3 linked regions of the Canis lupus familiaris genome follow. The protein of the gene in region 1 interacts with the protein of each later gene in a pairwise test. Links are inferred from orthologs where the notes say so. Each region holds a gene or a part of one and is shown in the gene's direction. Other genes may lie near its edges. The genes, in order: SEPTIN1, AURKB and AMOT.

Region 1 (4,196 bases):
GATCCTGGAGTCCCAGGATGGAGTCCCATATCGGGCTCCCTGGGGGAGCCTGCTTCTCCCTCTGCCTATGTCTCTGCCTCTCTCTCTGTCTCTCATGCATAAATAAATAAAATTTAAAAAAATAGTGCTGAATGAAAAAGTTAACAAATATGTATTCATATATATAATCATTTGTGTAAACATGCACTGTATACTACACATTTTTCATTTTTTTAAGGTTTTTCTTTTATTTATTTATTCATGATAGACAGACAGAGAGAAAGAGGCAGAGACACAGGCAGAGGGAGAAGCAGGCTCCATGCTGGGAGCCTGATGCGGGACTCGATCCCGGGACTCCAGGATCGCACCCTGGGCCAAAGGCAGGTGCTAAACCGCTGAGCCACCCAGGGATCCCCACTACACATTTTTCAAAATGCATACACACCAAAAAATTACACACAGAAGCACATTAGGGACCTGGGATGGAGCCAGGCTTTGGGCTCCTGCTCAGCTGGAAGACTGCTTCGCCCTTTCCCTCTGCTGCTCACTTGCTTGTGCTCTCTCTGTCTCTCAAATACATAAAATCTTAAAAAAAAAAAAAAAAAAAAAAAAAGAATCCCTTGCATGAAGGGGTACCTGGGTGGCTCAGTCAGTTAAGTGTCTGCCTCCAGCTCAGGTCATGATCTCAGGGTTCTGGGATGGAGCCCCCCCCCCCCCCCACCAACTGGGCTCTCTGCTCAGTGAGGAGCCTACTTTTCCCTTTCCCTCTGCTTGCCACTCTATGTATTTGTGCTTTTTCTCTATCAAATAAATAAATAAAATCTTAAAAAAAAAAAAGAAAAAGAAAAAGAACCAATTGCATGGGGGGAAAAAAATGAATCAGGGGCACCTGGGTGGCTCAGTGGTTGATCATCTACCTTCAGCTTAGGGCGTGATCCTGGGATTCTGAGATTGAGTCCTGCATTGGACTCCCCATCCAGGAGCCTGCTTCTCCCTCTGCCTATGTCTCTGCCCCTCTGTCTGTGTCTCTCATGAATAAATGAATAGAATCTTTAAAAAAAAATCAATTGCATGAGCTGGTAAGGAAAATTGATGGCTTCTTCCACCCCTAAATCTGTTAAGACTTTTGGTCCACTTAGTCTCTGGGAACTTTTTTTTTAACCATCTCAGTCAAAGTCTCATCTCACTTGCTAAAGACACCAATCTGCTTCCTTCCTCTCTGCCTATACCCCACCTCTCACCAGGGTGATGGGGTCACAGTGGGGGCTTGGAATAAGGGTGTGCAGAGAACTGAGGTGTTGAAGCTTCCCAAGAGGGCATAGCCAAAGGGATCCAGAAAGTGAGAACTCCCAGGTTTTCTTGGTCTTGGCTTTCCTCACCAGTTCGAGCATCTCAGCTTCCTACATTGCCCGCCCCCTTATTTGCCACACTCAACTTCCTGCCCCACCAGAGGAAGTGGGGAGAGACAGCAGGTGCAGCGACAGCTAGCAGGGCCATGGTAAGTCCTTCTGCCCAGGAATACAGGCATCTTTGCCCTCAGCCCCCAAACCCCGGAGTCGCCAGGCCCAAGTCAACCCATGGTAGGCTGACTTCTCCTCACTCCCAAGGAGAAGTCAGCTTACACTGGGGGCCCTGCCTGCCGCTCCCAGCAGCCTCATACTGTCTGCCCCCTAGCAACAGGACAAGGAGTATGTGGGTTTCGCCGCCCTCCCCAATCAGCTGCACCGCAAGTCCGTCAAGAAGGGCTTCGACTTCACACTCATGGTGGCAGGTCTGATGGGTTTGGGACAGGGGACTGGGTCCTCAAGAGACCCTGGCTGTCTCCTCACCTGACCAGGTGGGTCTGTCCTGTCCACAGGGGAGTCAGGCTTGGGAAAATCCACCCTCATCAACAGCCTGTTTCTCACCAATCTCTATGAGGACCGGCAACTGCCAGAGGCCAGCGGTAAGACCATCCTGTCCTCTCCAGGTCCTCTGTCTCCCCTATCCCCAGGTGGCACTCATCTGGGTCTCCCCTGACTTTTTGGGGGCACTCGGGTAGCTCAGTGCTTTTCTGAGACTCCCCTGAAAAAAATGGGTGGGGGCAACTGGGATTCTGAGAAAGGAAACCTGGCTCAGACCCCTGCGAAGCTCCCTGACCACTTCTCATCTCCACAGCTCGCTTGACACGAACACTGACCATTGAGCGCCGGGGTGTGGAGATCGAGGAGGGGGGTATTAAGGTGAAGCTGACAGTGGTGGATACACCTGGCTTTGGGGACTCCGTGGATTGTTCAGACTGGTGAGAACAATGGAAGGAGCGCGGGCTAAGCTTCCCCATGTGGCTACTCTGTGAAGGCTGAGGGGTCAGTTACAGGACTGGTCTGCTCTGCCCCTGCCCTCCCCAAAAGGTGGGTCTGCATCTGGTGGCCATGTGGCTTCCCAACAGCTGAACTACACCTCATCAATCTCCTTTGATGTCTTTGGTTAGAGTCCAAGAAACTAGTTCCCACCTCCAGGGTCCTGGCTAGCTTCGACCCCTTCCCTCCCCTGTGGCCCCTCCCCTGTGACTGTTCTCTCTTGCCCCACACCCCAGCTGGCTGCCTGTGGTGCGCTTCATTGAGGAGCAATTTGAGCAGTATCTTAGGGATGAGAGTGGCCTGAACCGGAAGAACATTCAGGATTCCCGTGTCCACTGCTGCCTCTACTTCATCTCACCCTTTGGCCGAGGGTCTGGGGGACACCCTCGAGGGTTGAGGTATTGGGTAGGGGCAGGGAAGGTTTCCGTGGCCTAAGGCTGAACCCTGACCAATCACTCCACGCAGGCTCCGGCCCCTAGATGTGGCCTTCCTCCGGGCAGTACATGAAAAGGTCAACATCATCCCAGTCATTGGCAAAGCAGATGCCCTGATGCCTAAGGAGACCCAGGCTCTCAAGCAGAAGGTATGTCTGGTAACCTCTGATCTTTGGCCCTACATGAAGCCAAAAGTTGTTATCAAACCTGAAATCAGCTTTGACTTCTTTGATCTCGGGAAAGGAAGCAAAATGAGTCAAACCACACTGCAGGAGAGAGTTTCTGAGGAAGGTGGGTAGTAAGCTGGCTGAAGAAGCTGGAGGCTCGGAATAGAATCCCTGGACTGGTTGCTTGGCTAAGGCCTGTCTGTCTGAGGGTGGCAGCAAGGAATGATGATCCCCATCGTAACTTCAGAGCCCTCTCTCACTGTTTCTGCTTAGGCCTCTCTCTCCTGGGCTTTTGGTATTTGCCTCATCCTATAATCTTCCCAGGCTCCAGTCATCCCTGTTAGGGTGTCTTTGTCTCTTTTTCACCATATATATCTCTCTCATTACTTGAGTTTTTTTTTGTTTTGTTTTGTTTTGTTTTGTTTTGTTTTTTTTTAAGATTTAAATAAAAGTATTTTTTTTAATTAAAAAAAATTTTTTTAAGCCCAACAGGGGCTTGAGCTCATGACCCTGAGATCAAAACCTGAGCTGAAATCAAGTCAGATGCTTCACCCACCGAGCCACCCAGGGGCCCCAAGATCTTAAGTAATCTCTACACCCAACGTGGGGCTTGAACTCACAACCCTGAAGTCAAAAGTCACATGCTCTACTGAGTGAGCCAGCCCAGGCACCCTTCTGAGATTTTGGTTTGGGGCCTCCTGTATGTCACCATCTGCCTTTCATGTCACCTGCCTCTGACCACCTGGTACCTTATCTCACTGTCTCCAGCCAGGCAGTGTCTGCTGCTCACAGCCTCTGTTTCTCACTGTCTGTGCATCTGTCTGCTCCTAGATCAGGGACCAGTTGAAAGAGGAAGAGATCAACATCTACCAGTTCCCCGATTGTGACTCTGATGAGGATGAGGACTTCAAGAGGCAGGATGCAGAGATGAAGGTAAAGATGCAAAGGAGGATGGGGCAAAGAAGCCAGGGCTGCGGCTGCAGAGGTGGAGGTTGACAACGAGGTTTCTGCCCAAGAGGGGCCACCGGTGATCCCTGACTCCTGCCTTTCAGGAAAGCATCCCTTTTGCAGTTGTTGGTTCCTGCGAGGTAGTGAGGGACGGTGGGACCCGGCCTGTGAGGGGACGCCGCTACTCCTGGGGTACCGTGGAGGGTGAGTAAGGTGGGCATGCTTTCTGAGGCCAGCGGGGAGCCCAAGACGCCTCTGAGTCAATGGCACCCAACATGTAAAGTTGGGGCGATCTCTGGTCCCGGGGATCCTAAGAGCCAAAAGAGGGA
Region 2 (4,137 bases), on another chromosome or scaffold:
CGCTCATCCCATCCTATCAGGGAGGTAGGGCTCCGCCTCTGGGCAGATCTCAGGTGCTTGAGAGCAGCTAAGAGAGCAGTAACTAGAGACTTGGGGGGAACGCTGGGGCCTAAGAGGAGACACAAATTGCAAAAGGGAGAGGGAGATGCTGGAACACCAGCCCTCAGCGCTTGAGCCCCGCAAAAAGGCTTGGGACACGGACAGGAAAGGAGGGGCTGTCCCCTGCTGCCCTCCCCTGCTGTCTGCCCCAGGGACACGCGGGAAAGAAAGAGCGAAGGGTTGAACCCTTCAGTGATGTCTCCCCACCAAAGTATCGGTGTGTTGGGCATTAGGAAGGGCCTGGCCCTACAAATCAGACGACCCGCAGGTGGAACAAAATGGTTCAGCCCCGAGGTGCTACCAGGAGGTGCAGGGCCGCGGCTGCTCAGACCCTGCTGGGAGAACTCCCCAGAGCAGGCACCGAGCAGAGGGGAGGCAGCGCAGGTGGCGGGCACCGGGCGCCACCGTGTCTCGCCGCGACTCCGGGTGGCCCCAGAGCGAGGGCACGCTTGAGGGCGTTAAGCGCTTAGAGGCTCCCGGAGCCCGGAACCCTCTGCGAGGCCCTAAGACCTGGCCTTAGACACTCGTGCGGGCGTTTGCCTCGGATCCCCCTACCGTCTGGGGGCCTTAGGCGGCGGGGGGGGCTCCTGCCTGGCCGTCCTAGGAGGTAAGGGGAGAGCGGAGGGGAGTCGGGAAGATAGCGGTAACCTGATCGCACTGGCGGGAAGTCCTGCAACCAGTGCTGGTGGCCAGACCCGGCTCGGTGCCCCGATCCCGCCTGTCCCCGACCCCGCCCCGCCCCGCCCCCCATTCGTTAACGACTCCTCTTCCGTGGGTCTTCTCGGCCCCGGGAATTATTCCCTGGCCTGGGCCCTGGCGCTGCTCATCGCTCCAGGAGGGTGGACAGGTGCAGGGGCGGATGGAGGCGCAGGTGTGCACCTAGGCAGCTCAGGGCTCATTCATCGTCCCCAACCAGGCACCTCTGCGCCAGCGCACTGGGTCCCAGGGCGGCGGGCGCGGCCCGTTAGAGTCGAGACTCCAGGTGACGGAGACCGTGACCACGGCGAGCAGGTAGCCCCGGAGAGCTGCGCGGGGAGGGAGGGGAGCGCGGGAGGCCGAGACCACTCCCTCCTACTTCCCCGACGTTATTTCCTGGGAGGAGTCGGAGCGCGCGGGCGGCCGAGCAGATCCCCAGAGCCCGCTCGGGAGTCGGCGGCGTCGGGGCGGGTGGTCCCCGCGCGCTCGCCAGGCCGCCCCCACCCAGAGCCGTGGCCCTGGACCGCATCGGGCCTGCTACGACCTCTAAAGGCGTCCGCGAGCGTTCTCTCACGTCGGCTCGTTGGTCTAGGGGTATGATTCTCGCTTCGGGTGCGAGAGGTCCCGGGTTCAAATCCCGGACGAGCCCCATTTGGTTTTGGCGGAGACCGGGACGCCCGGAGGCGCTGGGGAAGGGACCGGCGCCGCGCGCAGGCCTCCCCGCAGACCCCGCGCAACCGGCCAGAGCCTGGAGCAGGTTCGCCGGGAGCTCTTTTGCTCCGAGCGCACAGCCCGGCCGGCCTGCCCGCGGGGGGCGCGCACGGGGAGAGCGCACCGACCCGGGCCAGCCCTTCGCCTTCCCGCCCCCTTCTTCCTGCGCAGGTCCGGGCCCAGGGGGCCGGGGCTGCGGATGACAGGGAGCGGAACGGGCCGGGACCCACCACGACCCGGCCTCCGTGGGCTTGGGGGCAGTCCAGGGCGAGCGGGGGGTCTCCGGCTGTCTCTTCCCAAGCGGCAGGAAGGGTGCAAGCCCCGGCCGATCGCGGCCACAGCTCCAGATCTCCGAGCCGGAGAGCGCCTCCTTCAGCTCCCTCCTCGTTAGTATAGTGGTGAGTATCCCCGCCTGTCACGCGGGAGACCGGGGTTCGATTCCCCGACGGGGAGAAGCGGTGTGCCTTTTGCTTTCTTTCGTTCTTCTCGTCCTACGATAAAATCCTATTCACGGTGAAGTATGCGTCCCAGGGCGTGCGGTGGAGATTTTCTTTAAAAAGAAGGGAGAACGGGAAGGCACAAAGTAGAGAGGATAGCTGGTGCTGCCCCTGGCGCTCGGGCTCATATTCTAAAAGTTCGAGTTTGTGTTTTGCATTCAAGCAACTTGCATGTGAATCGTGCTGCCGAATGAGCCCTCGGTCCCCTCCGTTCAGTGAATGTGCTTAGAGACGCGGTCGGAGCGAGGACAGAAGCGCGCCGTCACGGGGCTCCGCTGGGCGTGCAGCCCCCTGCGCGGGCGGTGACTGGGCCACAGGGTCCCCGCGGAAAAGCCATCCCGGCGCGAGGTTTTGAAAAGTTTGTGGGGAGGGGGAAAAAGTGCTGCGTTGGCCGGGAATCGAACCCGGGTCAACTGCTTGGAAGGCAGCTATGCTCACCACTATACCACCAACGCCCGCCGCAAGTCCCTGTTCCCCACGTCAAGGATTCAGTGCGTGCCCAGGCGCGAGGCGGAGCGGTGGGTGGGTGTGGGCCAGGCGGGGAGACCCAAGGGGACCCGAGACACCCCTGTCACCCCGGAAGGGACAGCGCTTGACCACGCACAGCCGGCACACGACAAAGCAAGATTCCGAGGACCTAGTGAAAGAGGCTTTCTGAGTCGCTGATAAAACCGGGGTTACATTTAAGATTCTAGGGGAGGGACCAGAGCTGCAGCGACACCGCGATGGCTTTGTCACCCCCGGAAATAAGTCACACTAGCTGCTTCTCTGTGTGTCCTGAGGTTAAAGAGCTGGGCTATGCGCCAAGAGCCCCTAAGCATAGATTGCGCACGAGGACGAGGTTCCATCCCCAGGTGACCGCGCACGGCTCTGGAGGTGACGCGGGCTGAACCCCCGGGGGGGCGGGGCTGAGGCTTTGGCTCCGCCCCCTGCTGCTGACGATAGTTCTGTTCACGAGACCCGGGCGACCGCGGACGCGGGAGGGCCTCGTGGCGCAACGGTAGCGCGTCTGACTCCAGATCAGAAGGTTGCGTGTTCAAATCACGTCGGGGTCACGGAAGGTTGCAATTTTCGTTATCTCGATTTGCCTTGGTATTTTCCTTTCCGGCAAAGGAAGAGGAGGTTGAAATTCGTTTCATTGTACCAAAAGAATACTAACTCCGGCACCTCTAAGGTTTTGTTTTTTTCCCCCGAAATGTATGCGTTTTCTAAATATTCTAAATACAAATTTAGGAATTAATGTTGCATCTGCACTGTTTTTGTCAAATCAGCGGATAGCGATACCTTTAGTCTCGTAGATGTTTTAGGTATCCTAACGCGAATTGTTCACGGAACAGCCTCGAGTTCTTGTTCAGAAAAGGTACTTGGAGCAATAGAGATTCATTGTTGGAAAGGGTGTGGCAAGAATTGATAATTATTATAAGTAGCAATTAATTAATTAAATGCAGATGTTCCTCAGACTTCCTAAATGTCCCAGAAGCCTGGAGCCGTGCAATTTTGCTGCTTCTGGTCTGTTGGTGGAGGCAAAGGGAGCAGAGGAATGCAGGCCAGCCACTCCATAGGCCTTCTCCTTCCCAGGGGGAAATTTCTTCCTGGACATCTCTTTCCTAACAGGGCCTCCGTTGGAGGGACCAGGCCTGGGCTGCAGAAGAGGAATTTGGGCGGGCTCAGCACCACGCGCCTGCTCGCCGGCTGGACACTGTGCCTCGCCTTCCGCGTCTGCTCAGCTCCCCAGCGGCTGTCCGGGTGCTCCAGCCACTCCACTCTGTTGGAGTGGTCACTGTGTCACCTGTGCAAAGACGGAAGCAGGGAGTCCGCCCTCACGGCTGAGCTGTGCGTGCTCCAACTGGGGATTGCTGATGACTTAGGAAGGCGACAGCAACCCAGGAGCTCCTGCAACCCTGCCTCGGAAGGCATGTGATGGGGGCAGCATGCAGCCCAGCTCCCCATCACTGCCCACCCTAAGCAGAGTACGTTTTAGGAGATAAAAAATGGGGAATTATTTTTTTCTGTCTTGCATTCAACATTTATTAGCTGACATTCATTCATAAGGAAGATCCTTCTCTCGTCCACTGGGGCCAGGGGATGTGTTAATCATAACCATAGCTGACCCACAGGGCTTGCTGTGGGCCAG
Region 3 (3,323 bases), on another chromosome or scaffold:
AGCAAGGAAAAGGAGCGATGGTCCACATTCTAGCGAGGATGATATATACCAGGTTGGGTTTCTATCCTCCTGAAAGGAGCTCCTCCACATTCTGATATCTCACTGAGAGAACACTGATTGAATCCAAGGCCTTCAAAGATAAGAGTTCTGAGTTCTCCTTGGGTGGGAAGGAAGATAACTTCAGTTTCCTTTTAAAAATTCTCAGATCTGACCTTGCCACTTGAGATCTTTAGTCTTTGTCCAAAGCCCACGTGAGCTTCATGTCAGTCAAGATTTCAGAATTCCAGATCTTCTCTGTTCTTTCCTCCTATATAATAGAAGGACTCAGAGTTCTAGTTAAGCTAAATGATGCTGGGTGGCAGGTTTTTGTTATCAGAATGTTCTGAGATGAGAACTGAATGTACTTTTTCATTCCATTCCTGTCCATGCCTTCCCCTCTAATATTTTTTTAAATTTTTATTTATTTATGATAGTCACAGAGAGAGAAAGAGAGGCAGAGACACAGGCAGAGAGAAGCAGGCTCCATGCACCAGGAGCCCGATGTGGGAATCGATCCTGGGTCTCCAGGATCGTGCCCTAGGCCAAAGGCAGGCGCCAAACCGCTGTGCCACCCAGGGATCCCTAGGCCTTACCCTCTAATCAAAATCCCAGAAATATCATGGACACCATGAGGTACATTTTTAGATTCTGAGAAAACCAGCTTTGTATTTTAATTTTAGGTCTTTTTGTTGTTTCTGATATCCCTTTTAGTTGTCGGACACTTGCAGTGTCCCTTGGCTAGAGGACGCATTCCAGAGACCACGGTCTTGATTAGAACCTTCATTTACAAAATTATTTTCACATTCATCCATGACTACAAACTTATTTCCCCAATCCTTCCCAGCTGTCTGGTAGTGGATGATGTGGGTGATAAGTGGAACTGACTAGAAGCATTCTGAAAGCTCGCTGGAAATCAGTGGCTGTTGGAAAAAAATCAAAACTGATTCACAGGACACCTAAAAGTGTCATCCACGGTGCTGGGGTGGAGAGTGAGGACCAGGTGGGATGAGCCTGCCACACCCGCCTTCTGGGTTCTCTGGAGGCACAAGGAAAGTTCCTCCTGAACCTTCTACATGGAAGAAGAGGGCCAGTAGACGTGTGCATCTGGGTCCCAGGAGCCCATACCTGCCTAACCCCTGTCTCTTTCTCCCCTTATAGGTATTCTCCTGGGTGGAGACTACCGCGTCGAGTCCGTCCCTTCCACCCCATCGCCGGTGCCACCGTCCACGCCCCTGCTGTCTGCTCACTCCAAGACGGGCAGCCGTGACTGCAGCACCCAGACGGAACGGGGAACGGAACCGAACAAGACCGCCGCTGTCGCTCCCATCTCTGTTCCCATGCCAGCCGCTTCTGCCGCTGCTGCTGCCACCATCACTGCCAACGCTGCCACCAACACTGCCACCGCTGCCACCACCACCACCACCATGGTAGCCACCGCTCCAGTTGCCGTTGCTGCTGCTGCCGCTCCAGCTGCCACTGCCTCTGCCCCATCTCCGGCCGCTGCCACTGCCCTCGCTGCTACTGCTGTTTCTTCAGCTCCTGCCACTCCGATTCTCGCTGCTGCCTCTGCTGCTGCTGCTGCTGCTGCTGTTGCTCCCACTGCTGCTGTTCAGGTTTCCTCAGCTGCTCCGGCTCCGCTTCCAGCTTCGGCTACCGCTCCAGTTTTGGCTCCGCAAGCGTCTCAGGCTTCTGCTTCGGCTCCGACTCAGGCACCAACTCCAGCTCCGGCTGCGGCTTCTCCTCCAGCTCCAGCTCCAGCTCCAGCTCCAGCTCCGGCCCTGGCTCTGGCTGAGGCTTCTTCAAGTCCAGCTGCCAGTTCTGGGTCCCGTCGTTTGTCTATACCAAGCGTGACCTGCAGTCCCGATAAGACAGGTAATGATTGTCCATACTGGGGAAGCTTTGGGTTCTGCCCTCAATTACAGGTGGTTTGTTGACCCGCTGGTCACTTGGCCACAGTCGTTCATGTGCTAAAGGGAATGGATCACAAGGCACAAGGGCAGCATCTGTAAATGGCTTCTTGGGACACCAGGATGGGAACTGGGGTGAGCCAAGGCCCTTCTCCTAGTAGAAGCAAATGTTCAGGTGGACACGGGGAGGGGGTGTCAGGCAAGTCTCACTTTGCCATTGGCTTCGTGGCTCGGAAGGTGTCTGTTTCTAGGAATCGTCACCTTATCCCTAACTGCTTTCTAATCCCCTGTCTCTGTTTAGATGGCCCTGTTTTCCACTCCAATACTCTGGAAAGGAAAGCTCCCATTCAGCTCCTGGGACAAGAGCCTGATGCAGAGATGGTAGAATATCTCATCTAAACGGCACATCCGAGAACTGCGGTTGCTCAGCAAGAGTGCTTTTAATCATTTTTCCCTTTTGTTTGTTCTTATTTTGAGGGTGAGGACTAGGGTTGGGGGGGATGTTCTTTAAAGGGGCTTTCTATTGAGACGATGTAGTACTTAAGTAACACCATACAAACTCCAGCCTAGTCTGGTACACACTTAGAGCGTTACCTCTAAAGACCGATTAATCAGAATGTGCTCTAAAGTTTATTGTTGGGATTTATACAAATGCTAGGACTGTTAATAGCTGGATGTACATGAATGTTTTCAACGTGTGTCATTTTATTTAGCCTTGCCATATTCCAGATCATTTTTATTGAAGAGCACAGTACGTTTGGAAGGCAGTGTGTAACATGTAGTTCAGAAGTGGGAAGCTGGAGAGAATTTGCACATGTGCTGTTTTGTACACTTACCATCTAGGCAGCATCCAGAGAGAGAGAGCTCTCATCTTGGGCTCATGGAAGAGAATAGTTTCGGGAGCTATGTAAGCTGGAGAAAAGGCAGGGGATATTGGGGTGTGGAAGGGTGCTGGAGCTAATTTTCCCTCCCGATTTCCCAGCTGCCCTGTGCCAGGAGTTTGTTTATCTTCATTTCAGTGGTGCTTTGGAAGTGGATTCTTTTGGTTCCCTTGTGGAAGTTCATACATTTCATATATATACTCTGGAGTAATTTATGCATTTGGATAATTAATATATTGCTTTCAGATGCTAGGAGAGTAAATTAGCTGTGTGATGATGTATAACTTCCTCTTTCATAGGGAGTTAGACCATCAGAGGCCTTGATGGAGAGTTGCATGAGGTGCTGTGTGTGGCCACCAGCACAGCTCGCTTGCCTTTCCTGAGACCAATCTGCTTTGTGTTTATTTCTTCTCCAGCACAGACTCACTGGCTGTGTCACCAGTCTCAAATTTCCAGTCATTGGCAAAACGAGGAAGCATTTCTGGTGATGGGCCGA

The links.
Region 2: the proteins of SEPTIN1 (region 1) and AURKB interact in binary tests that used the Homo sapiens proteins (3 or more experiments, as listed by UniProt). The link is inferred for Canis lupus familiaris from reciprocal best matches to the Homo sapiens genes SEPTIN1 and AURKB.
Region 3: the proteins of SEPTIN1 (region 1) and AMOT interact in binary tests that used the Homo sapiens proteins (3 or more experiments, as listed by UniProt). The two-hybrid records come from large-scale screens. The link is inferred for Canis lupus familiaris from reciprocal best matches to the Homo sapiens genes SEPTIN1 and AMOT.

What each region holds. Positions count from the first base shown.
Region 1 is NC_049227.1:17,876,456-17,880,651, forward strand, and holds the start of SEPTIN1 (septin-1), read left to right. Parts: upstream 1-1,260; 5' UTR 1,261-1,474; coding exon 1,475-1,477; intron 1,478-1,653; coding exon 1,654-1,750; intron 1,751-1,837; coding exon 1,838-1,924; intron 1,925-2,136; coding exon 2,137-2,260; intron 2,261-2,554; coding exon 2,555-2,689; intron 2,690-2,783; coding exon 2,784-2,901; intron 2,902-3,750; coding exon 3,751-3,852; intron 3,853-3,971; coding exon 3,972-4,071; intron 4,072-4,196. UniProt on the Homo sapiens protein: Filament-forming cytoskeletal GTPase. May play a role in cytokinesis.
Region 2 is NC_049226.1:33,232,042-33,236,178, reverse strand, and holds the start of AURKB (aurora kinase B), read left to right. Parts: upstream 1-1,210; 5' UTR 1,211-1,389; exon of another isoform or gene 1,390-1,444; intron 1,445-1,677; 5' UTR 1,678-1,904; exon of another isoform or gene 1,905-1,959; intron 1,960-2,386; exon of another isoform or gene 2,387-2,458; intron 2,459-2,986; exon of another isoform or gene 2,987-3,058; intron 3,059-3,617; 5' UTR 3,618-3,934; coding exon of another isoform or gene 3,935-3,973; intron 3,974-4,137. UniProt on the Homo sapiens protein: Serine/threonine-protein kinase component of the chromosomal passenger complex (CPC), a complex that acts as a key regulator of mitosis.
Region 3 is NC_049260.1:86,411,872-86,415,194, reverse strand, and holds part of AMOT (angiomotin), read left to right. Parts: intron 1-1,197; coding exon 1,198-1,911; intron 1,912-2,247; coding exon 2,248-2,345; 3' UTR 2,346-3,323.